Elephas maximus indicus: one gene and its partner. The protein of the gene in region 2 binds, or shares a complex with, the protein of the main gene of each other region. Links are inferred from orthologs where the notes say so. Each region holds a gene or a part of one and is shown on either strand. Other genes may lie near its edges. The genes, in order: FCGRT and ALB.

Region 1 (12,636 bases), on a different chromosome or scaffold from region 2:
AGGGAGGGAGTGGTGGTGGTGTAGTAGCTAAAACGCTTGGTTGCTAACCAAAAGGTCAGTGGTTCGAACCCACCAGCCGCTCTGCATGAGAAAGATGTGGCAGTCTGCTTCAATAAAGATTATAGCTTTAGAAGCCCTATGAGGCAGTTCTACTCTGTCCTATAGGGTCGCTATGAGCTTGAATAAGAAAATAAAAATCCTCACAACTGGACCAATAAGAAACATCATGATAAACAGAGAAAAGACTGAAGTTGTCAAGAATTTCATTTTACTTGGATCCACGATCAATGCCCATGGATGCAGCAGTCAAGAAATCAAATGATGTATTACATTGGGCAAATCTGCTGCAAAAGACCTCTTGAAAGTGTTAAAAAGCCAAGATGCCACTTTGAGGAATAAGCCGCTGGCACCTGAGCCAAACCGTGGTATTTTCAATTGCTTCATATGCATGTGAAAGCTGGACAATGAATAAGAAAAACTGAAGAAGAATTGATGCCTTTGAATTAAGGTACTGAACTGCCAGAAGAACGAACAAATCTGTCTTGGAAGAAATACAGCCAGAATGCTCCTTGAAAGCGAGGATGCCGAGACTTCTCTTACTTACGGAATCAGCTCGATAGCAGTCTAGTTTTGGTTTAATTGTAACTGAGCAGATTGCCAGGTCTTTCTCCCGCAGAGCCCCTGGGTGGGTTCAAAATGCCAACCTTTCTGTTAGCAGCCAAGCGCTTAAAGGTTGTGCCACCAGGGCACCAGAGAGAGGTGTGGCGGTTATTAATTTTTTTAAATGCCCTTACCCAGGAATTACATACTGTAGTATTTACAAATGAAATACTCTGGTGTCTGGAATTTACCAAAGCTGAGTCTGAGGTGGAATGAGGAAGTGGGTGAGAATTTGTGTGAAATACGAATAAACATGGGTTCACCATGGTTGAAGGTCAGTGATGGGGATTCATGGGGGAGGATCATTATCCTATTCTCTCTGCTCATGTGTAGTTTGAAATTTTGCATAATTAAAACGAAAGGGGAAAATTAAAGCAAACTACCCTTAGGTCCCAACTCCTCCTTTGTGGTACTTGCAGTGAATATTTGGGCCACTCTCCATTAGACATGTCTTTCCTGGCAGCCTCGGTGCCGCAGGAGGGTAAACATGGCGTCCCTTCCCTCTCTTTGCCCAGGGCCTGGAATGACCCTTCCCTACCCCCATGTACCCCCATAACTGACCTTCAACCATAATCAACACATGGTTATTTGTATTACACTCAAATCCTCACCTGGCAATGCCTCACCCCACCCCAGACTAAGCTTCTTCAGTAAATCCCAACCAAAAAAACCAAACCCACTGCCATCAAGTCGATTCCGACTCATAGCGACCCTATTGGACAGAGTAGAACTGCACCATAGGGTTTCCAAGGAGCGCCTGGTGGATTTGAACTGCAAACCTTTGGGTTAGCAGCTGTAGCTCTTAACCAGTACGCCAACAGGGTTTCCTCAGTAAATCCCAGACACAGAGTATTTCATCTATAAATACTTCAGAATGTAACTCTGTCAGGTAAACCAGTTGCTGTTGAATCGATTCTGCCTCATAGAGACCCCATGTGTGTCAGAGTAGAACTGTGCTCCATAGGGTTTTCAATGGCTGATTTTTTGGATGTAGACTGCCAGGCCTTTCTTCTGAGGCACCTAACCTTTTGGTTAGGATCAGTCAGGGACTTCTCTAGTTGGTAAGGGCACTTAAAATTAATACCACAAAACTATTATCATACCTACTAATGACCCATTGCTGTTGATTCTGACTCATGGTGACCCCACGTGTTACAGAGTAGAACTGCTCCACTGGGTTTTCTTTTTGTGTGAGTGTGCTTTATGTGAAAGTTTACAGACTAAATTAGTTTCTCATTCAACGATTTATAAGCAAACTGTTTTGTAACATTGGTTGCAATCCCCACAATGGGTCAACACTCTCTCCCTCTCCACCCCGGGTTCCCCATTTCCATTTGTCCTGTTTTCATGTCTCTTCCCTGCTTTCTCATCTTTGCTTTTGGGCAAGTGTTACCCATTTGGTCTCATATACTTGATTGAACTAAGAAGCACATTCCTCACGTGTGTTAAACTATTTGTTTTATAGACCTGTCTAATCTTTGGCTGAATGGTGAACTTTGGGAGAGACTTCAGGTCTGAGTTAAAAGGGTGTCTGTCCATAGGGTTTTCTTGGCTGTAATCTTTGCAAGAGCCCTGATGGCACAGCGGTTAAGCACCTGGCTGCTAACTGAAAGGTTGGTGGTTCAAACCAGCAGCCACTCCAGCCGCTCCACAGGAGAAAGATATGGTATTCTGCTTCTGTAAAGATTATAGCCTAGAAAATCCTGTGGAGCAGTTGTACCCTGCCCTATGGGGTCACTATGAGTTGGAATAGACTCAGCGGCAATGGGTTTGGTTTGGTTTATTCTTTAAGGAAGCAGATCACCAGGCTCTCCTTCTGTAGCACCACTGGGTTGGTTCCGACTACCAACCTTTTGGTTAGGTGTTGCTGTTTTTTGTACCACCCAAGAACCTTACACCTACAAATACTTAATTACAATTCCTTCATGTCATCAGGTAGTCAGTTCTTCTCACTCAGCCAACGTTTGTTGGATGAATGGAGGCCTGGGGGCCTCTGGGAAGGAAACAGCTACATTGGGGGAGGGCTTCTCAAAGTGGGTGATATTCAGCCTGTGCCTTGAAAACTAAGCAGGGTTGGAACACGTGGAGAGAGGCAGGAAGGGTGTTCCAGGCCAGGGGAATCGCATGAGCAGACACTCAGAGGAAGGGCTTTGCTTAGATGGGGCACAGCCAACTGGGGGTGGAGCTGGAGTGTAGACTCTGATGGGCAGGTGAAGGAAGACAAGTGAAGCCGAAAGGGTCTGATGAGGTCATTAAAGGTAGGAGCTGGAATTCTGTGCTGGGGGCCGGGTGGGAGCCTTGAGAGGGCTGTGAGCAGGGAGGCTAGGAGGCCCGGCAGGAGCCCAGGGCCATGGTCAGGAGAGAGGATGGAAGAAGCAAGAGTGATTCAGGAGCTCCTTACCCTTCCACTCAAGGTTCCCTCGCCCCAACTCCAGGTGGCCCAGCAGCCGCTGAGGACAGGAGCTGAGCAGGAAGGCCCTCTCTTGGTTGACGACCTCAGCCTCTTTCTTCCAGAGGTTGCCGATGGCTTCGGCCTCAGGCCAGTCCCCACTCCAGTTGCCCGCCTTGGGATTGAAGGTCATGAACTCCTCACCGTTCAGGGCAAACTTGGCCGTGGGCACTGAGATGTTGCCTGGTCCCAACTCACAGCCCAGGAGACCCTGCAGGGTCAGGGGATCTGGGGGGCCACATGCAGGTGAGTGGGGCCCACGCGTCCAAGCCCCCAACCTCTCTAACCCAGACCCAGGAATCCAGGTCCCCCAGCCCCCTCCTCCCTCAGACCTAAGTGTCCAGGCCCCCAGCCCCTTCCTCCCTCGGACCCGGAGTCCAGGCCCCCAGCCCCTTCCTCACTGAGACCCAGGAATCCAGGCCTTACCTTTTCCTCCCACGACTTTGAGAGCTTCAAGAAAGAGCTTCTCCTTGTTCCTCAGGTCAGTTGTCTCTTTCTCCCAGTACCAGGGCACCTGGTTTTCCCAGACCCACGCCCCGCATGGCTCGGCCTCGGCCCGCAGGTTACTGTAGCTCAGGTATTGCTGTGGGCCCAGCCAGCCCGATACCCAGAATGCAGGAGTCCCCGGGGTAGGGGAGGATACAGCAGTGAGGTGGTACAGGAGGGAGAGATGGCTGTCTGCCGGAGAGAGACAGAGATGAAGAGAGCACGCAGAGGTGGGGTAGGGGCCTAAACTGAGAGTGGGACAGAGACTCAGAGACAGGGGAACAGAGACTCACAGAGAGGGGGGAACTGAGACCCAGAGAGAGAGGGTCAGAGACCCAGAGAGAGGGAAACAGAAACTCAGAGAAGAGGACAGGGACCCAGGGAGAAGGTGGAACAGAGATCGAGAGAGAGGCACAGAGATCCAGAAAGAAAGAGATAGACTCAGAGGCGGGGGACAGTGACCCAGAGACAGAGAGGGAACAGAGACCCAGAGAGAGTGGGAAACAGACCCGTGAGAGGAGGATAGAGACCCAGAGAGAGAGAGATGGACAAGACCCGGGGGGGGGGGTCAGAGACTCAGAGATTGAGGAGAGAAGAGACCCAGAGAGAAGAGGACAAGGGCCCAGAGAGAGAGTGGGACAGAACTCAGAGAGAGGGGCGATAGTGACCTAGAGAGAGAGGGAGAGAGACCCAGAGGTGGGGGACAGAGACCCAGAGAGAGAGAGGGACAGAGACCCAGGGAGAGAGGGGGTACAGAAACCCAGAAAGAAGAGGACAGGGACCCAGAGACAGGGGGACAGAGACCCAGAAACAGGCAGACAAGGACCCAGAGAGAGAGGGACAGAGACCCAGAAAGAGGGACAGAGACCCCAGAGAGAGGGGAACAGAGACCCAAAAGAAGAGGACAGGGACCCAGAGAGAGAGGAAGACAGACCCAGGGAGAGGGGGGACAGTGACCCAGAGAGGGAAAGAGACTCAGAGAGGGGGGAGGAGACTCAGAAAGCGAGGGAGGAAGAGACCCAGATGGAAGAGGACAAGGACCCAGAAAGAGAGGGACAGAGGCCCAGAGAGCAAGAGGGACAGAGACCCAGGGAGAGGTGGGGATAGAGACCCAGAGAGAGGGGCACAGAGACCCAGAGAAAGAGGGGTGCTGAGACCCAGGGAAATGGGGACAGAAACCCTGAGAAAAGTGAGAGGTGGCTCCCAGTCACAGAGGCCGCGGGAGAAGAAAGTGATAAACAACGTTTAAAGCAGGGGAGAAGAGCATACTGGTTTCTGGTGAAAACCCAGATTTCTCTGGCTGGGCTTCACGTCTATCCGCAGCCGCCCTCCCCAAGGCCCCTCACCTGCGCCCAGCGTCCCAGGCAGGAGAAGCAGCAGCACACGGAGTCCCCAGGGCCGTGGTCGGGCGACCCTCATCCTGAGCCTGAGACCTAGCGGAGGGAGGCGGGTGACCTAGCCAGCCCTTCCTCTTCCTCCCCTGGACCCGCGGGGCGGCCCAGGACCCGGGCGGCTGGGGCCGGGTCGGGGGGCTCGGTCAGGAGGGCGACAGATTCTTATTAAAAAAAAAAAAAAAAATTTCCTCCTCCTCCCTGAACTTTCACCCCTTAATTTGATCCGTTTTAGTTAATTAATTACAGAGCCTGGATAAGCTGAGATTCCTCTTGCAGAGCTGGGCCCGGCCCTCTTCCCTCAGACCCAGCAGTACAGGCCACGGGCTCCTTCCTCTCTCAGACCCAGGAGTCCATGCACCCTCTTCCCTCAGACCCTGCAGTCCAGACCCCCAGCCCCCTCCTCTCTCAGACCCGGCAGTCCAGACCCCCAGCCTCCTCCTCTCTCAGACCCGGCAGTCCAGACCCCCAGCCCCCTCCTCCCTCAGACCCCAGAGTCTGGACCCCCCGGCACCCTCCTCCCTCAGACCCCAGAGTCCGGGTCTCCAGCCCCTCCTCTCTCAGACCCCGGAGTCCGGGTCTCCAGCCCCTCCTCCCCCTGGCCCGAGAGTCTTGGCCCCCAGGCCCCTCCCCCCTCAGACCCGGGAGTCTGGGCCCCCAGCCCTGCTTACGTTCGCTCCCAGCCTGCATCCCAGCAGATTCCCGTGACTGGAGACCCCAGTTCCTCCCTTACATCCTGTCCGGAGACTGTTCCCTAACCCCAAGAATATCCAACCCCGCCCCCCAGCTGCAGGGCACACCCCAGTCCGCCCGCCCAGCCTCTCCGCTGGTGTTTTTCTCTGCCTCTCTTGAAACTTTTGTCTTTTTTTGTTGTGGTTTCTTTCTCTGTTGCTCCCTGTTTTTTGTTCTGAGGGTGTCAGCCACCCAGCGAATCCAGTGGGATCCGAACTGAACACGGTTAGAGTCCAAGATGTGTAGGCCTCTGTGGGCCCCTTCTTACCTCCTTGTGCACCCCCCATCATGGCCTTCGCAAGCTTCTGCCATAAAGAAAATTCTCGAAATGCCTATTTCCCCCTTAGAGCTATTCCCGGAAGCGTTCCCCTGAATTGCTCTTGCTGTGTCAGTCAGTGCCCTTTTGACATTGCCGCATAACCACACAACCCCAACACCCTCTTATCCCGCGGTAGAACCCCCTCCCGGTCACCCACCACATCCCCTGCTCTTGCTATAATGCTTCCACTCATTTTTTTAATGGTGGTAAAATACACATAAGATTTACCATTAGTGACATTTAGCTCATTCACAATGCTGTGCACCCACTACCACTAGTAGTTTCAGAACGTTTCTGTTCCATCACGCCAAAAGGAAACCCTATACAGGTAGCCCCCGACTTACGGCGGGGTTCTCTTTCTGTGACTCTGATAAGTGGGTTCTGACATAAGTTGAATATCTCTTTTTTTTTTTTTTAAGTTTTCATTATTATTGCCTTTTCTTATCAGTGTCTTTATAAATCCGGCAATGTTTTGAACAGTAAAATCATAAAATTAAAGATCTGCGAACGAACGTCTGAGAATGATAACATCAGCAAGTTACACCTGCAACCTGTTACCAACAATAAGATGTACAAAAAAAAAAAAAGGACAGTTGTAAGTGCTATTCATCGTAACTTAAATACCTGTATGTTGTGCACTACCTATATCCATTAAACCGTCTCTCCTTATTCCTCCTCCTCCCAGCCCCTTGCAACCACTAATCTACTTCCTGTCTCTAAAGATTTGCCTCTTCTGGACATTTCATATAATTGGAATCACTTTTGTGTCTGGCTTCTTTCACTTAGCGTCAGGTTTTCAAGGTTCATTCCTGCCATAGCATGTATCAGAACTTTATTTCTCTTTGTGGCTGAATATTATTATTTCGTTTTGTTGGCTAGACCACATTTTGTTTATCTCATTCGTCTGTTGCTATGAACATTTGTGTACAAGTGTTTTGTTTGAACACTTGTTTTCAATTTTTTGGGGTACAGACCTAGGAATGGAATTACTGGATCATATTGTAATTCTATGCTTAACTTTTTCAGAAACCGCCAGTCATTTTTATTACTCTTCCTGGGTCCTTCTAGAACACCCACTGAGATTCACCCCTAGGATCCACCACCAATGAGTCTGCAGGATCCTGCCTTAGTGCCCCAGGAGTCCTATTACAGCATCGTCAGCTCTTCCCTAAGATACCCTGAGGGATCTGCCATGACCCTAGCTGTCCCTTCTACGTTCCTTGGAACCCTGGTATAATACCTCCAGAGAACTATTTACAGCAGCCCGTGAGGTCCCACTTTAAAGTCCCTTAGGCGGATAGATAGATAAATGGTAGACAGACAGACAGATGGATTATAGATAGATAGCTGATGTCAGGTCAACTCCTATTCACTGTGACCTTATGTATAACAGAATGAAACTTTGCCCGGTCCTGCACCATCCTCACAGTCACTGGCATGTTTGAGTCCATCACTGGCATGTCGTGGCTATTGTTCCAATCCATCTCGCCAAGGGTCTCCCCCCACCCCTTGGCCCTCTACTTCACCAAACATGATATCCTCCTTCACTGAGAGAGCATTCCTGATTATGTGTCCAAAGCAAGTGAGTTGGACAATGTTCTGTGATCCATAAGATTTTCATTGGCTGAATTTCAGAAGTAGGTCACCAGGCCTTTCTTCCTAGTCTGTCTTAGTCTGGAAGCTCTGCCGAAACCTGCCCACCATGGGTGACCCTGCTGGTGTTTGAAATACTGGTGGCATAGCTTCCTGCATCACAGCAACACATAAGCCATTACACTCTGACAAACTGGTGGAAAGTTCCCAAGGACGCTACTATAATACTCCTTGGAATAAAGCCCAAATGTCCTGTTACAACAGCCCCAGGACCCTGCGATATCTTTCCTTGAAATTTGAATAATATCACCCTGGGGGCCGGCTATAATGACCCAGTCTTAGAGCTTATGTTCCCAGAGGTCTGCTAGAACATTTATGGCATCTCCCTGTAATGACTGTGGACCCCACTATGATACTCAAAGGCCTGAAATACCCCTTCATACATATTCTGAGATCCTGCTAAAATGTCCCCAGAGCTATTATGTCCCACTTTAAGAGTCCCCAGAACTTCTCTGAAGGCCCCCTTAAGCCCTGGTATAAGGTACATATCGTCCAGTTATGATGCCTCCTGGCCCATTAAAATGGCCTCAAGACTCCACTGTGCCATCCATGCCTCTACACTGCCCCCTGGAGGTCCCCTGAGGACCTCCTGGCTCTGCTGGAGTAACAGCTGTACAACCCATGTCCCTGGGGCTTGGGGCCCTGTGGGACCGTGGTTAGGAGGGTTCCTCCTCACCCCGTGCCCCTGGGGCTCATTTGATAATCTCTGGTGCCCATCCCCATGCCCCCTTGGGTTCTGTGATAGTATCTTGAGACCCAGCCATAATGGCCTTCGAGTCTATGCTATGCCACCAAGAAAGAAACACCAGAAGTGGAGCATGTCCTTTGGACCCAGGATTCCTAGATCAGGGGAAGACTGATGACAAGACACTTTCCCCACAGCCAATAGAGAGATAAAGCCTTCCCCTAGAACTGGAGCCCTGAATTCGAACTTCTAGCCTCCTAAACTGTGAGAGAATTAATTTCTGTTTGTTAAAGCCAAAAAAAAAAAAGAGTCTATGCTAACATCCTGCGGAGTCGGCCACCCCACGTCCTGGATGCTGCTAATTGAGTCCTGAATCCCAGTAGAGCCATTACTGTGACCTGCTTCAGGATTGCCATAAACTGCCCTCAATCCGACCTTTGCCCTGCTACCAAGCTGTTCTAATTGCCCCCGTTTCTATTGTAAGGCTTCCCAAGCCCACTCCTGGGTTCCCTCTATCACTGCCTCTCATCAGGCCCTGCCCTATTCAGAGCCTCCCCAGGAAAGACAGACAGAGAGATAGGTAGGTAGGTAGGTAGACAGATGATAGAAAAACAGAAATATAGACAAAGTAGATACTCAGATAGACAAGTAGAAAGACAAAGATAGATACGTAGGTAAAACAGATACATAGACAAGCAGTCAGACAGAAAGACAAAAAAATGGAGCTAGACAGATATATAGAAAGCAACAATTAGACAGGCCCTCTGGTACAAAACCTCTACCTTCTCCTAGGAACTTATTGTCATGACCCCCTACCCCACCCTGAAGGACCTGAGACCTTGCTGCAGAAGGCCTCTTGGTCCTGCTCTGGGGCTCTGGATGTCATCTTTAGATACTCTGGGTCTAGCGCCAATGGTCCCAGGGCCCTGTACAGTGCAATGCATTACTTAATATGGTCCTTCTAGCCACGGTCTTTGTCACTCACACACAATGACTGACTGAGACCATGCAAATAAGGTATATGGAACCCTAATAAGGAGATTGTTCACTTTCGTCATCCTGCTAGGCTTAAAATGAGCCATCCCAGTGGCGGGAAGGGAGGATCTTACCACCACCAAGAAGGAAGAGCCAGGAGTGGAGCCGTGTCCCAAAGAATCCGGAATCCCTGTGCTGAGAAACTCCTGGAACCAGGAAACAGAGAGAGAGAGAGAGAGAATGTAACACTGAAGGCAGAAGCTGCGGCAGAAAACAACAGCAGCAGAGGCAGGAGACTGACAGGAGACAGCGGTGGCCTTCCCAGCCCGGAGCAAGAAAACTGAATACCTTCAGGCAGAAGGCTTGCTGGCAGAGTAGGGTCCCTCTGGGCACTTGGTGGAGCTAGGTTTGCCAACCCGTGGAGCTAGAGGTGAGCACCTTCGGGCCAAGGCTTACTGGTGGAGTGGGGTGCCTTGGGGCACTTATCAGCAGAGCTAGAAGTTTTGTAACACTTGCCAAGCAGGGCAGAGGCCAGCAAAGGGGCTGAGAGGCCAAGGGGCCAGAGAGAGGTGTGCCTGCAGGCATGGCTGGGAAGAGGCTGTCCTGATGGAAAAATTGTACCCTGAGTGTTCCTGAGCCTGAATTGTAACCTGTTGCTTCTCTAATAAACCACATAACTGTGAGTGTGGTCTGAGTTCTTTGTGGACATTTTAACGAATTATCAAACCCAGCAGAGAAGTAGAGTGTCATGTGAGGGACAGATGGTGTCAGAATTAGTAAAGATAGCCAAGAGAGGAGGTATGTCTGACCTCTGCCTCATAGCAATCACCCTTCAGCTGTTGATCTGGATTCTCCTTCCTCCCTGTGAAGCTGGAGGAGGCCAGACACCTCCACCAGACCATTTTTACACCCTGTCAAAACATTTTCTAGGATTCTTCTCTATTGCCCTGGACCTGCAAATGAGGTCACTTGAGTGAAGGAGCCCTTGAGCTCCTGCCACCAAGCCCCCAGGCTTTCAGGTGGAGTGGGGTGCCTCAAGGCACTTATCAGCAGAGCAAAAATAGCTTTGTCACATTTCTCTGAGCAGAGCAGAGTCCAGGCCAAGGACTGAGCTCAAAGGTGCTCAGCTTTCTTGCTCCCTGGGCCAGGAAGCCTACTGCGCTCTCTCCTGCCAGCCTCCTGCCTCCGCTGCCATTGTTTCTCTGCAGCTGCTTCTTGGCATCTCAGTTGTCACAGCTGTCCCTGTCTGTCTTCCATGTTACATCTCCTACTCTCTCTCAATGTCTCCCTTTAAGCCTAGTGGGATGGCAAATTTGACCAATCCCCTCGTTAGGGTTCATATACCTCATTTGCATAGTCCCACCCAGTTTAGTGGGAGTTACTAAGACTATGGCTGGAAGGGCCCTATTAAATAATTCACTGCAGTGCGTAAGACATACCTGACAGTAATACTGTTCATTAACATAACAAATGGGATTATAACCACAGGTATACCAAAAAACCAAACCCATTGCTGTCAAGTAGACTCCGACTCACAGCGACCCTATAGGACAGTGTAGAAGTGCCCCATAGGGTTTCCGAGGCTGTAAAGCTTTATGGGAGCAGACTGCCAGATCTTTCTCCTGCTGAGCGGCTGGTGGGTTCAAACCACCAACCTTGCCCTTAGCAGCTGAGTGTTTAGCCACGGTGCCACCGACACTCCAATAACCACAGGGGTAGGGATTAGGATTGACAACACATATTTTCCGGGGGCCAGAGTTCAATACATAACACCAAGTGAGGTAATATATTCATTTATAAGTTCCGGGGGATTAGGTCGTGGACATATTTGAGGGCTGTTTTTCTGCATGTTATAGACATCTGCATTGTATTGCATTGGGCAAATCTGCTGCAAAAGACCTCTTTAAAGGGTGAAAAAACAAAGATGTCAGCTTGAGGACTAAGGTGAGCCTGACCCAAACCATGGTATTTTCAGTTGCCTCCTGTGTATATGAAAGCTGGACAATGAATAAAGAAGACCAAAGAAGAACTGATACCTTTGAATTATGGTGTTGGTGAAGAATGCTGAATATACTATGGACTTCCAGAAGAAAGAACAAATCTGTCTTGCGAGAAGTACAGCCAGGATGCTCCTTAGGAGCAAGGATGGTGAAACTTTGTCTCACATACTTTGGACATGTTATCAGGAGGGACCAGTCCCTGGAGAAGGACATCATGCTTGATAGAGGGCCGGTTAAAGACAAGAAGACCCTCAACAAGATGGATTGACACAGTGGCTACAACAATGAGCTCAGAAAGAGCAACAATTGTGACGATGGCGCAGGACTGGGCAGTGTTTAGCTCTTTTGTACATAGGGTGTCTATGAGTTGGAACTGCCTCGAGGGCACCTAACAACAACAACAATAGACATCTGCCCATACCCAGATGCCCTTTCTGATCGCCTCTCCTTTCTGTTCTAATGGCCTCAGGGTTCGCTGCTTAGATGGGGAATGGTCAGTTGGGTCACGAGGCCTCTTAGGGGTCTGCCCTGTTGTTGTCAGCTGTCGTTGAGCCAGCCCCTGAATCATGGTGACCCCGTGCACAACAGAACAAAACGCTGCCCAGCCCTGTGCCATCCCCATGATCAGCTGTGAGTGGGAACATTGTGGTCCATAGAGTTTTTTTTTTTTTAATTTTTACTGTGCTTTAAGTGAAAGTTTACAAATCAAGTCAGTTTCTCATACAAAAACTTATATATACACCTTGCTATACACTCCTAATTGCTCTCCCCCTAATGAGACAGCACACTCCTTTCCTCCACTCTATTTTCGTGTCCATTCTGCCAGCTTCTGACCCCTCTGTCCTCTCATCTCCCATCCAGACAGGAGATGCCAACATAGTCTCATGTGTCTACTTGATCCAAGCAGCTCACTCCTCACCATTATCATTTTCTATCCCATAGTCCAATCCAACCCCTGTCTGAAGAGTTGGCTTTGGACATGGTTCCTGTCCTGGGCTAACAGAAAGTTTGGGGACCATGATATCCAGGGTCCTTCTAGTCTCAGTCACACCATTAAGTCTGGTCTTCTTACGAGAATTTGGGGTCTGCATCTCACTGTTCTCCTACTCCCTCAAGGTTTCTCTCTGGTGTTCCCCCTCAGGCCAGTCATTAGTTGTAGCTGGGCACCATCTAGTTCTTTGGTCTCAGGCTACTGTAGTCTTTGGTTTATGTGGTCCTTTCTGTCTCATGGGCTCACAATTACCTTTTATCTTTGGTGTTCTTCATTCTCCTTTGGTCCAGGTGGG
Region 2 (11,785 bases):
AGTTATCTGAGGATTGGAAAGCCACATATTCAGAAAATACTCTTTTTGGAATGAGGTATATAGTTAGGTAGCTATTGCACCTACATTTTGAATTTGAGTGTTCTCTGTTACCATGTATTGGACATAATGAATCATGGGTCAGTTGGAGGTGAAAATGCTTCCAAAATTAGTATTTGCTTAATATATGTTTTGTATTATTTACTTTATATTATTATTAGATAGTCTATTATTTATATTAATTTATATGATTAAACAACAAAAAAAACAAACCCAGTGCCATCAAGTTGATTCTGACTCATAGCGACCCTATAGGACAGAGTAGAGCTGTCCCACAGAGTTTCCAAGGAGCGCCTGGCAGATTTGAACTGCTGACCCTTTGGTTAGCAGCCGTAGCACTTAACCACTATGCCACCAGGGTTTCCAATTTATATGATTAGATATGATTATTGAAACATTTTATATCCATGCAATGCAGAGTTTGCCTTTATTCTTCCTCCTGGTTTTTCTAAGGTTTCCAAACAAAATGGCAATGAAAGACAAAGAAATATTACTGACATGCTCATCACTTTATCATAGTCCCTGTTTCTTTACCCTTGTTCCATGACTATTGTGTCCATATTTATGTATATTTTAAATTGTTGCACTCGTGATGGACAAAATTTTGTGCTTTATCTTTCACTGAACATTGTATCAAAAATGTTTTTCTCCATGCTGCATGGATTTATAATTATCATCTTAATATGTAGACCAAGACTATTACTTGTGGAAGGCTAGGTAACCAGTCATGTTCACAGGTGACATCTACCTTGGTAAATTCTTCATTGTTCCCTCATCCTCACAGGCTTGACCCCTGATTTGCTCTCTAGTCCAGAATTGGTTGAATTCCATGATGTTAAGTCATGCTCACCCATCTCAAAGAGACTGACATATGACGAAATTAAAACAGCTACTTATTAGTTTAGGATGAACTATGTGACTATCAAGTCTATCGCCCGTGTTTGCTTTGCCGTAACTATCACTTTGGGAAGTCTAATCGCAGGGAGGCTGCATGATTAGTGTAGCCTATGAACAAAGGGAACCCTAGTGTAATTTGAAAGCCTGGCTCCATAATAGCGTCAATCACTTCTAAGAAAGATCAGATGAGGTCCTAGTCAGTGCTGGATAGGCACACCTGTTTTTGTCTTCAGGACTCCTTTTCTTGGTTGTTTGTTTCCACTGCTGATCAGTCTTACCCTCAATTTAGGCATTCTTTCTTTAAATGTATCAATAAATTCATTCTGGTTACAGATACATACTTTTGGTCTGGGAGCTTTTCTATCTTTTCTGCCCTGATTCACTATATTTTGATTTTACAGCATCACTTTTACAAAAAAAAAAAATTTTTTTTTCTTAATTCTCAGTTATTGTGAAACACCTCACTATTATCCTCCATGTACCTCAATCTCCTAAAAATGGCAGCATAGTATTTCACTGAGTTGTTGTTGGGTGCCATCAAGTCAATTCCAACTCATAGAGACCCCATGTGACAGAGTAGAACTGCTCCATAGGGTTTTCTTTGCTATAACCTTCATGGAAGTAGGTTACCTGGTCGAACGTCCAACCTTTCAGTTAGCAGCCTGAGCGCTTATCTGTTGCACCACCAGACTTCTTTCACTGAGTTACAGCACCATAATTTATTTAAGCAATTCCCTTTCATTGGTCATATATATTTTTCACTCCCCCACTCTATGAAATCATAATGCATATCATTTTTTTCCTTTTTGGAATTTTTCACAAGAATAAATTTGTGTGAGAAGGATTAGAGAATCAAAAGGAGAAATATTCACTGCCAAATAACTTCACAAACTCATTTGGGCAATTTACACCAACACCGGAAAAATATAACAATTTCATCATAATCTCACCGTTAGCCATTTTAACTTTTCTGAAATTTTTGCTACATTAATAATAATAAAATAATTATACTATGGTGTTATTTTAAATTGTATTTTCAATTACTACCGAAATTGAAAAATTTTCCTTGTGTCATTATTAATATTTTCATATCTGAAATATAAAATATGATATACAAATACAAATAAATAAAATTATAACTTTATATCTAATAATAATATAAATAATAGAATAATAATATAAATTAAATAATAAAATATGTATTAAAAACCAAAAAACCAAACCCAGTGCCGTCGAAGTGGTAACTGCTACGGCTGCTAATCAAAGGGTCGGCAGTTCAAATCCACCAGATGGTCCTTGGACACTCTACGGGGCAGTTCTACTCTGTCCTATAGGGTTGCCATGAGTCATGATGAAAATATGTACTAAGCAGTACTAATTCTGGAAGCATTCTGGTCTCTTCATTTTTTTTGAGAATTTGTTATTTAGCTTATCACTTTATGTGAACTTTTTATATGATATAGATATGGAGATTAATATGTTCCCAGTTAATTGCTTTTTATTTAAAATAGTCACATGTGCTCTTTTATATTCTATAAACTGTTTCAAATTGTATGTAGGCCAATAAATATATTTTAATCTTTACTTTTTTGACAAGATTTTTTTCAATCCTCCATTGATTTAAAATATCTGATTTGTTATATATTAGAATAAATTATCATATATAGCCAGCTGACCTTTCCAGCATTGGTTAGGAGAGTTATCGACCACCCTGAATAATGAATAAAGCCCTGCTGCCTCACATCCTGCAATATAATACACAGTGTTACCCCTTCAAAAAACAGTTCAAGTGGAGATCAATACCTAAAATCAAAGCTTCTTTCTTTATGAATTTTGACTTAGGCCCATATTTAAAACAACTGTCTGCTTTCTTTTCGTTGTGTTTTCCTGTGTGTGATCTGTCTCTCCAATTGGAGTTGCACAGGCCTCTTGTGGTCTCAATGTGAGTTCTTCCAGATTACTGCCTATCATTTTGAAGTGCTCTCCAGAGCTCCCCAAAATGATTTACTAAGAAGTTTAAGTGTTGCTAGGCTTTGTTTTTTTTTTCTGAATACACGTCATATTACATTTTTTTTTTTTTATGGATTGAATTGTGTCCCCCTAAAGATATATTGAAATCTTAACCCCTGTACCTGTAAATGTGACCTTCTTTGAAAGCAGATTCTTTTTCTGAAGACCTTATCAGTTTTTTTTTTTTTTTTTTAGGAGGTCATACCAGAGTAGGGTGGGTCCTGATCTTTTCTAAGTACTGTTTTGTAAAGGAGAGAACAGACCCGGAAATAGAATCACACAGAGGGAAGACACGTTGTATCTACAACTCCAGGAAAACCAAGGACACTTGAGGCTACCAGAAGCTGGAAAAACAAGGAAGGATTTTCCCCTAGAGTGGAAACAGAGAAAGCATGGCCCGGCTGACTCCTTGAATCTGGATTCCTAGACTCCAAAACTGTAAGCCAACAAATTTCTCTTCTTTAAAATCACTGACTTTTATTTTGTTATGTCAGCCTTGGGAAGCTAAAACAATTGTGTATATATACATAGTCATTATATTCTATTTTTGGTCACTAAACTTTTGCATTTTGGTTTGTATTTCAGGAACCTAAAGGTATCCTAAAACTAATAATTGTTGTTGTTAGTTGCTTTTTAGCCATTGCTTTTTAGTCTGCTCCGGCTTGTGGTGACGTTATATAAAAGAGGAGGCAATGTTGCTTGGTCCTGTGCCACCATTTTCATGATTTTTGATATGCCTGAGCCTATTGTTGAGGCTAATGGGTCAATCCATCGCATTGAGACTTTTTCTCGTTTTTGCTAACTCTATACCAAACATGATGTCCTTTTCTAGAGATTGGTCTTTCTTGATGACATGCACAAAGTAAGGGAGCTGAAGCCTTGCCATCTTTGCTTCCAAGAAACATACATTTCTTCTAAGTCTGATAAAACTAATAATTACACATATGAAAATACGTTAAAGATAATGTTCTTAAAAGTACAGTAAATTCTTTTTACTATGTACTTTAGATAGCAAACTCTACAGATAGAGAAATGGAGAGGAAAAGGGGAAGGGAGGGAGAAAAGGAAAGTAGGGAGGGAGGGAAGGAGAGAGGAAAGGAAGAAGAAAGGAAAGAGAGAGCTAGAGAAAATGAGAATAGAATAGTTATATTCATATAACATGTTATAGCATATAGTATATAAATTACATATATGTAAATGACTGTTGATTTTACTTCCAAGCTATATGGTTCTCTACTATACTATAAATACTATGCTAGGTTCTGAGCACACTGAGACTTGGGCAGTGTAAGGCATGTTTTTGTACAGCTTCCAACCGTGTATTCTCATGTTCTAAACACAGGAATGTATAGAATTAGATAAATGCTGCCCAGGGCAACAAAGAGCCTTTCAACTATGCAAAGGCAAGCCTTTTCCTGTTAGTCTGATCTCTCCTGGCTCACTAAAATTCTTATATGTGTCTCTAAATTGTCACAATGTGCATCAGGGCACAGGAATAATGTATATGTATGCGGGAAGGAGAAAGTAAAAAAAAAAACATAGAAGGACAGAAGACCCAGAACTAACAATCCTGAAATAATAAAGACACATTGGGACAAGAACAATCAGAATTTTAAGAGGGAAATACTATTATAATTTTTTATGCTTTTGTATAATATAAGTAAAAATTGTGAGGGGCTGAGATGAATTAAAAATACTTACACTACTCCAATGACCATGTTTAAGTGATCCCAGGTATTCATTAACGTCGTCAAATCACTTTGGAGGAAAATGATTTTTAAGTCTTTACTACTGTCAACTAACATACTTGAACGTGAAATTTCACACTCACAGGTTAACAACCAAGTTTTCCAGATAGGACACCTAGGTCAGTATATGGATTATTTTGTAACAACAACAACCAAAAAAACACAGAAAGCATTAAAAAGTACAGATTGTCATAGTTGATTTTAGTATTTTGAATTTAGCATGAACCCTTAATACCCTGATTGAAGAAAACTTTGGATTTTTTCGTTTGTTTGGATTGGTTTGGTTTGGTTTTCAAAAGGAAGCTATTTCTAAAAAGTATATATATATATATATAAAGACCTTTGGTAAAGATGTGCAACTCAAATTCTCAAACAGGAATTTCTTTTAAATATTCTACAGAAAGTAGATAATTCTAAAAATTTATTTGTGTTTTAAAAATATAAAAGCTTAATAGTTGTGCCATAAAATTATCTAAAAAGGATACTGTCTGCTTTAAATGAATGATTTTCAATTAAAGAAAACAAAAATTTCAGCCTTTCAATTTTATGCATTTTTGTTGTTTTTTTAATGAATGTGTCATCATCCCTGAGGCACAGAGTAGAAGTACAAACTGTTAACATTATAATCTTTTGAAAGCATTTTCAACAGTGAGTCCCTATTCCCAACCACATTCAGTCTAAACTACTTTTCAAGGTCCCGTTACTGTTGTGAGCTGTCACTGAGTCGTGTCATCTCCTCATGCTGACCGCATACGTTAGAGTAGAACTGTTCCACAGGTCTTTTTTGGGTGTAGTTTTTATGGAAGTGGATCACCAGGCCTTTCTTCCTAGGCACCACTGGGTGGGTTCAAACCTTTACGTTAGTAATTAAGCACAAACAGTTTGCACCACCCAGGGATTTTCAAAGTCCAAGAGTCTCCATAATCTGGGTTTAACTTTCTTGTTTTAACCCAATAATTCTGAGTGCTCTTCTTTTATTTCTGGATGGGTCTATTGAATTGATCCATTCAATAAATATTTGTTGAGTGCTCACTTGGCTGCAGGAGCCCTGGTTGCACATTGGTTAAATTGCTGAGCTGCTAACCAAAATGTCAGCGGTTTGAATCCACCAGCTGTTCCGCGGAGAAAGATGTGGTGGCCTGCTTGCGTAAAGATTACAGCCTTGGAAACCCAATGGGGCAGTTCTATTCCGTCCTACAGAGTCACTATGAGTTGGAATTGATTCAACGGCAACAGGTTTGGTTTTTCTTTTTTTTTTGGCTAGATACTGAGGTGCATTCAAGTGCGTGACACTTGGGGAGCTATGGTAATCAGTCCTTTTTTCGACAAAACTTTCTTGCTTAAACAACGACAACAAAAAGCCATTGCTGATTTGCATATAGAACCAGGGCAGGCTCAGGATATGACTGGGGCAAATCCTATAGATTTCCCAGGAGTATGGTCCTAAGAAAAATTATACCCATTCTTAATCTGTCAGAGGTTATTGAGAAACTGTTACCATGGTTTGTCGTAGCCCTTCCCCCTTCATAAATCTTTAACATAATTCTTAATGCTTTCACCAAGACTCCGTACAAATTGACCTTTACATTGGATCATATTCTTCGTCAGACCCTACTGCCTTGCTGATTAGGGAGGTGTTTCATCTCTATAAATTACTGGACAACTTAGAGTGAGACCCTGCACTGCAATTAGTCTGTTTCTGGAGGCCATCCACAAATTCTTCCCTGTCTGAATTCACCCTTCTCTTACCTGCTATCCACAGATGAGGATAAAAAGAATGTATCAACCAGGTATTGAAAGAAAACTTCCATAGTCTTCTATATTAAAAAAATATATATGATTAGGTCATCCACATTACAACAAAGAAGTTGGTCTGTAACAATTTTTACATTCCTATTCTACAACAAATATGGATTTTATTCCCTCTGCTATCCTTCATCACCTAGCACCACCATTACCTTTGCCCTACCTAGCACCACCATTACCTTTGCCATAAGTCAGTTCCTGAGAGATATCCAAACTAACCCAAAAGGAGCTATGGACATCTTCTGATTTAAGGCTTCTGCAGTTTTCATATTCACCATCATCCAGGCCTTGCAGCACATGAATCTTCTCTTCCTACATCCAGTGCTGTCTAGATGCTCCAACATGTGGGTTAGCAATTGCTATGTCTATGACCACCCTGGTCAAATCAGCTGGCCAGCTCCCATTGGCTGGTTCCCTCAAAGAAATTATCATGTCTTTCACCCATGGTTCCCTTTTATGACAAATAGTATGGCCATCCATCCTCTGCCTCACCTTCCTTACCATATGCTGTCCATTTCTCTTCTGCAGATCAGTCCCTGCCCCTTCCTTGCCTTCCAAACCTTAGTAAATGAAACAAACCAGTTGCCGTCAAGTCGATTCCACTTGGTAGTGAACCCTTTATAGCAACCAGGGCTTTCTAACTTGTCAGCAAGTCCCATGTACTCTTACTTCAAAATATATCTTGATGTTTTCCATTTCTAAAGAAATAACCATCTTAAATGGTCTTGAAGTGCTGTCTCTTGGTTTTGATTGGCATTTCCCTAGTGGCTAGCGATTTTGAGCATCTTTTCATGTGCTTATTGGCCATTTGTATTTCTTATTTGGTGAAATGTCTATTCAAGTCCTTTGCCCATTTTTTGATTGGGTTGTTTGTCTTTTTGTGGTTAAGTTGTAGGAGTTCTTTATATATTCTGAGTATTAAATCCTTATTCGATTAAAAAAAAAAAAGTTGCCGTCAAGTCAATTCTGACTCATGGTGACCCTATAGGACAGAGTAGAACTGTCACATAGGGTTTCCAAGGAGCAGCTGGTAGATTTGAACTCCCAACCTTTTGGTTAGCAATGAAGTGCTTAACTACCGCGCCACCGGGGTCCGACTGGATGTATGGTTCCAAAAATTTTCTCCCAGTCTGAAAATTGTCTCTTCACTTTGTTGATAAGTCCTTTGATGAAGAAAACTTTTTAATTTTGTTGAAGTCCCATTTATCTATTTTGTCTTTTGTTGTCCTTGCTTTTGGTGTCATATCCAGGAGTCCATTTTTAAGAATTAGGTCCTAAAGCAATACCCTTATGTTTATGGTTTCAATTCTCACATTTAGGTCTTTGGTTCATTTTGAATTAGTTTTTGTATGTGATGTGAGATACGGATTCAGCTTCATTCTTTTGGATGTGGAATTCCAGTTTTCCCAGTACCATTTATTAAAAAGACTTCTTCCCCCCTTGTCGAAAATCAGTCTATCCTAGATGTATGGGTTTATTTCTGGAATCTCAATTTTACTTCCTTGGTCTATATGTTTATTATACCAGTACCAGGTTGTTTGGATTACTGTAGCTTTATAATATGTTTTGAAATCAGAACCTGTCAGCCCTCCCACTTTGTTCTTCTTCGCGATTGCTTTAGCTATTCAGGGCCCCTTGCAATTGCATATAAATTTAAGTATCTTCTTTTCCATTTCTCAAAAAAAAGGCTGTTGAATTTTTTATGAGTATTGCATTTAATCTATAGATCTCTTTAGGTAGTATTGAAATCTTAACAATATAAAGTCTTCCAATCATGAGCACAGAATGTCCTTCCATTTATTTATTGTTGTTGTTAGCTGCTGTCAAGTCAGCCCCAACTCTGGCAGCCTCATGAACAACAGAACAAAACTTTGCCCAGTCTTATGCCATCCTCTTGATCGGTTGCAGATTAAACTGCTGTAATCCATAAGGTTTTCATTGACTGATTTTTGGAAGAGATTGTCAGCCTTTCTTCCTAGCCGATCTTAGTCTGGAAGCTCTGCTGAAACTTGTTCAGCATCAGAGCGACAATGACAGACAGGTGTTGGTTGTACAAGAGGTGCATTGGTCAGGAATCAGACCTGGGCCTCTCACATGGAAGGGGAAAATTCTACCACTGAACCACCACTGCCCTCACTCGCATTTATTTAGATCTTTAATTTCTCTCAGTAATGTTTTTTAGTTTTCACTGTACACGTTTTTCACTTCCCTGGTTAAATTTATTTCTAGGTATTTTATTCTTTTTTTTAGATGCTATTGTAAATGTAATTGCCTCCTTAATTTCCTTTTTAGATTACTCGCTGCTTATGTATAAAAGCTTGATTTATTTTTATATGCTGAAGATATGGAGAAATAGGAGACCTTATTAATTGCTGTGGGACTGTAAAATGGTATAGCCACTGTGGAAAATAGTCTGGCAGTTCCTCAAAAAGTTAAACATAAAATTACCATACAATCCAATTTTAGTTCTAGGTATATACCCAAAAGAATTGAAAGCAGGAAACCAAACACCAATGTTCATTTTAGCACTATTCACAATAGCCAAAAAGTAGAAACTGTCTAAATGTCCATTAACAGATGAATGGATAAACAAAGTGTGGTAGACACGTACAATGGACTACTACTCAGCCAGAAAGAGAAATGAAGCCCTGATATAAGCTACAACATGGATGAACCTTAAAACATCATGCTGAGTGAAATAAATCAGTCAAAAAAGGACAAATATTGTATGATTCCACTTGTATGAATTATCCAGATTAGGCAAGTGTATACAGACCTTAGTTTATTAGTGATTACCAGGGGAAGGTGCAAGGGGATGGGGAGGAGAGGAGAAGGAAACTCATAGCTCAGGGGACATTGAGCTTACATTAAGTGTGATGGAAAAATTTGGAAACAGATAATGGTGATAGCTGCACGATGGACACAAAGTCTCTGAATTCACTTGTGAAGCATGTTGAAATGGCAAATGTTTTATTACACATATATTTACCGCTGGAAACCCTGGCAGCGTAGTGGTTAAGAGCTACGGCAGCTAACCAAAAGGTCAACAGTTTGAATCTACCAGGCGCTCCTTGGAAACTCTATGGGGCAGTTCTACTCTGTCTTATAGAGTCGCTGTGAGTCAGAATTGACTCGATGGCAGTGGGATTGGTTTTTCTGATTTATTTACCACTATTAAAAATATATATATATAAATATATCTTGATATAGATAGATCGGTCTATTGATCAATCCAATCACTTCTAGCTACCTCCACCACTAACGACATAGTATAAACCAGCATTATATCTTGCCTGGATTTACCACATCAGCCTCTGATTGGTCTCCCTGCATCATTTTGGACTCCTCCACATAAGCAACCAGAACGATCTTTTCAAAACACATATCATAGCACTCTCCTGCTTAATGCATGTCTATGGCAACCCATCTTTCTTGGGGTAAAGACAGAAATCTTTAAATTGACCCTGTATGATTACCCTTTACCTGCTTTCTGCACTCATCTGACAAGATGCTTCTCATAGCTCTGACACTGTGGCAACAATAGCCTTCTTTCAACACCTCGAAGACACCGTAATTCCTTTAGCCACAGGGACTTAGGGTGGCTACGTTTTATCACTTCTTTTCACCTAGTTAACTCCTATTCTCCCTAAGATCTCAGTTCAACCATAATTTCCCAGGAAAGCAAGTCCCAGTTTATACTGAATCATAATATCATTTATTTCTTCTTTAGAACACTTAACATAGTTATAATTTTTATTCATTATAGCTATATCATTTTATAGTTATATGGTATAGTTGTATTATTACATTATATTTAGCTATAATTTTCATGAATTTTTTGATTAATGTATAATATCTTTCCTCCACCTAGCTTGTAGGCTCAGTAAGAGTAGAGCCATGCTGGTGTTTTGCTCACTATTTGTATTCCCAAGTTCTAGCCCACTGCCAATTACATACATGATAAACAAATACGCAAAATTTTAAAAACATTTGCTGTGGAGTTGGCTCCAACTCATGGCAACCCCATGCATGCCAGAGTAGAATTGCGCTCCACAGGGTTTTCAGTGGCTGATTTTTCAGAAGTAGATCACCAAGTCTTTCTTCTGAGATGCCTCCAGGTGGACACTTGCACCACACAGGGACTCAACATACATAGTAGGCTGTCTGTAAATATCTGTTAAATGAATGAAAGCTTAAGCTGACAGTTTTGAACACCAAAGGAGACAATATAGAGTGAAGATTCTGTGGCTCTCGTCACATTAGATAAACACCAGCCATCACTACTCTCTGGGCCTATACATAGTTAAACATGTTGTCAAGTTGATTCTGACTTATGGCAACCCCCTGGGTGTCAGAGTAGAATTGTGTTCCATATGGCACTGTTTTTCAATGGCTGATTTTTCAGAAGTAGATTGCCAGGTCCTTCTTCATAGGTGCCTGTGAGTAGACTCAAACCACCAACATTCTGGTTAGCAGCTGAGCACATTAACCATTTCAACCACCCAAGGACTCCTATACATGGTTACCGACACATGAAGTAGATACCTTCCACTTCCAGGTTTATCGTCCATGTATCCCAAATTCATTTTCACTGATCCTGTGCACGTGGCCCTAGAACACCCCTCTGAACTCAATGCCTTTGCAACATACTACAACTGCCAGAAACAAGGAGCCAAATTACACAGTAGGGGGTGTTCTGGACTTTGCCATTATTATAGCTAGCCTTCATACTCCATCTGGTGGGGATAATACTTAATTGAGGAATACACATAAGAACAGCCACTGATGTCAGTTCCTCCATGAAGGTCCAGTGGTTTTAGCTGAGGCACTGATCCATGACCAGAGTTGAGGCTTAGGTCTCTACAGAATAATGAAAGTAAAATAGTTTGGCATGGAAACGACCATTGAAACGGTCTTTTGAGAGCAAGCCAAGAATGAGAAAAAGAAACCAGATACCAAGTCTAGTTCAAAGAACAGAAGCAGAACTATAAATTGGAAACAGAGCCAGATGGACTATGGCATGAATGAGTACAGATCAGGAACCAGGGAGGTGTGTACACAGTAATTATAGTGACTAGATCAGGGCAGGCAAATGCCCAGGGACACGGCCATTTGGCTGATTTAAGAAATGGAGTCGAACCTCCTACCAAAGGAAATCCATTATTTTCAGGACAAGCCCTAGGAAAATCTTCCCTTCCTTGAGAGGGTGATCCTGATTATATAGGGGCCAGAGGAAAAAACCCCCATAACCATTTCCTTGTAATCCA

The links.
Region 1: the proteins of ALB (region 2) and FCGRT are in contact, whole or in part, in a crystal structure (PDB 6QIO), measured with the Homo sapiens proteins. The link is inferred for Elephas maximus indicus from reciprocal best matches to the Homo sapiens genes ALB and FCGRT. Residues at the interface, in NP_000468.1 of Homo sapiens: Arg105, Glu106, Thr107, Tyr108, Gly109, Glu110, Asp113, Asn133, Asn135, Gln441, Ser443, Pro445, Thr446, Glu449, Leu484, Leu487, His488, Thr491, Pro492, Val493, Tyr521, Val522, Pro523, Lys524, Thr530, Phe531, Thr532, Phe533, His534, Asp536; in NP_001129491.1 of Homo sapiens: Arg65, Glu67, Glu69, Gly72, Ala73, Val75, Trp76, Gln79, Val80, Ser81, Trp82, Trp84, Glu85, Lys86, Thr89, Arg92, Asn172, Lys173, Leu175, Thr176, Leu179, Phe180, His184, Glu188, Arg192, Gly195, Asn196, Trp199, Lys200, Glu201.

Annotation. Positions count from the first base shown.
Region 1 is NC_064829.1:99,979,016-99,991,651, reverse strand, and holds the start of FCGRT (IgG receptor FcRn large subunit p51), read right to left. Parts: upstream 6,087-12,636; 5' UTR 6,009-6,086; coding exon 5,987-6,008; intron 5,765-5,986; exon of another isoform or gene 5,677-5,764; coding exon of another isoform or gene 5,658-5,676; intron 5,029-5,657; coding exon 4,942-5,028; intron 3,788-4,941; coding exon 3,536-3,787; intron 3,338-3,535; coding exon 3,062-3,337; intron 1-3,061. UniProt on the Homo sapiens protein: Cell surface receptor that transfers passive humoral immunity from the mother to the newborn. Binds to the Fc region of monomeric immunoglobulin gamma and mediates its selective uptake from milk.
Region 2 is NC_064823.1:84,362,205-84,373,989, forward strand, and holds the start of ALB (albumin), read right to left. Parts: upstream 4,890-11,785; 5' UTR 4,770-4,889; coding exon 4,666-4,769; intron 1-4,665. UniProt on the Homo sapiens protein: Binds water, Ca(2+), Na(+), K(+), fatty acids, hormones, bilirubin and drugs. Its main function is the regulation of the colloidal osmotic pressure of blood. Major zinc transporter in plasma, typically binds about 80% of all plasma zinc.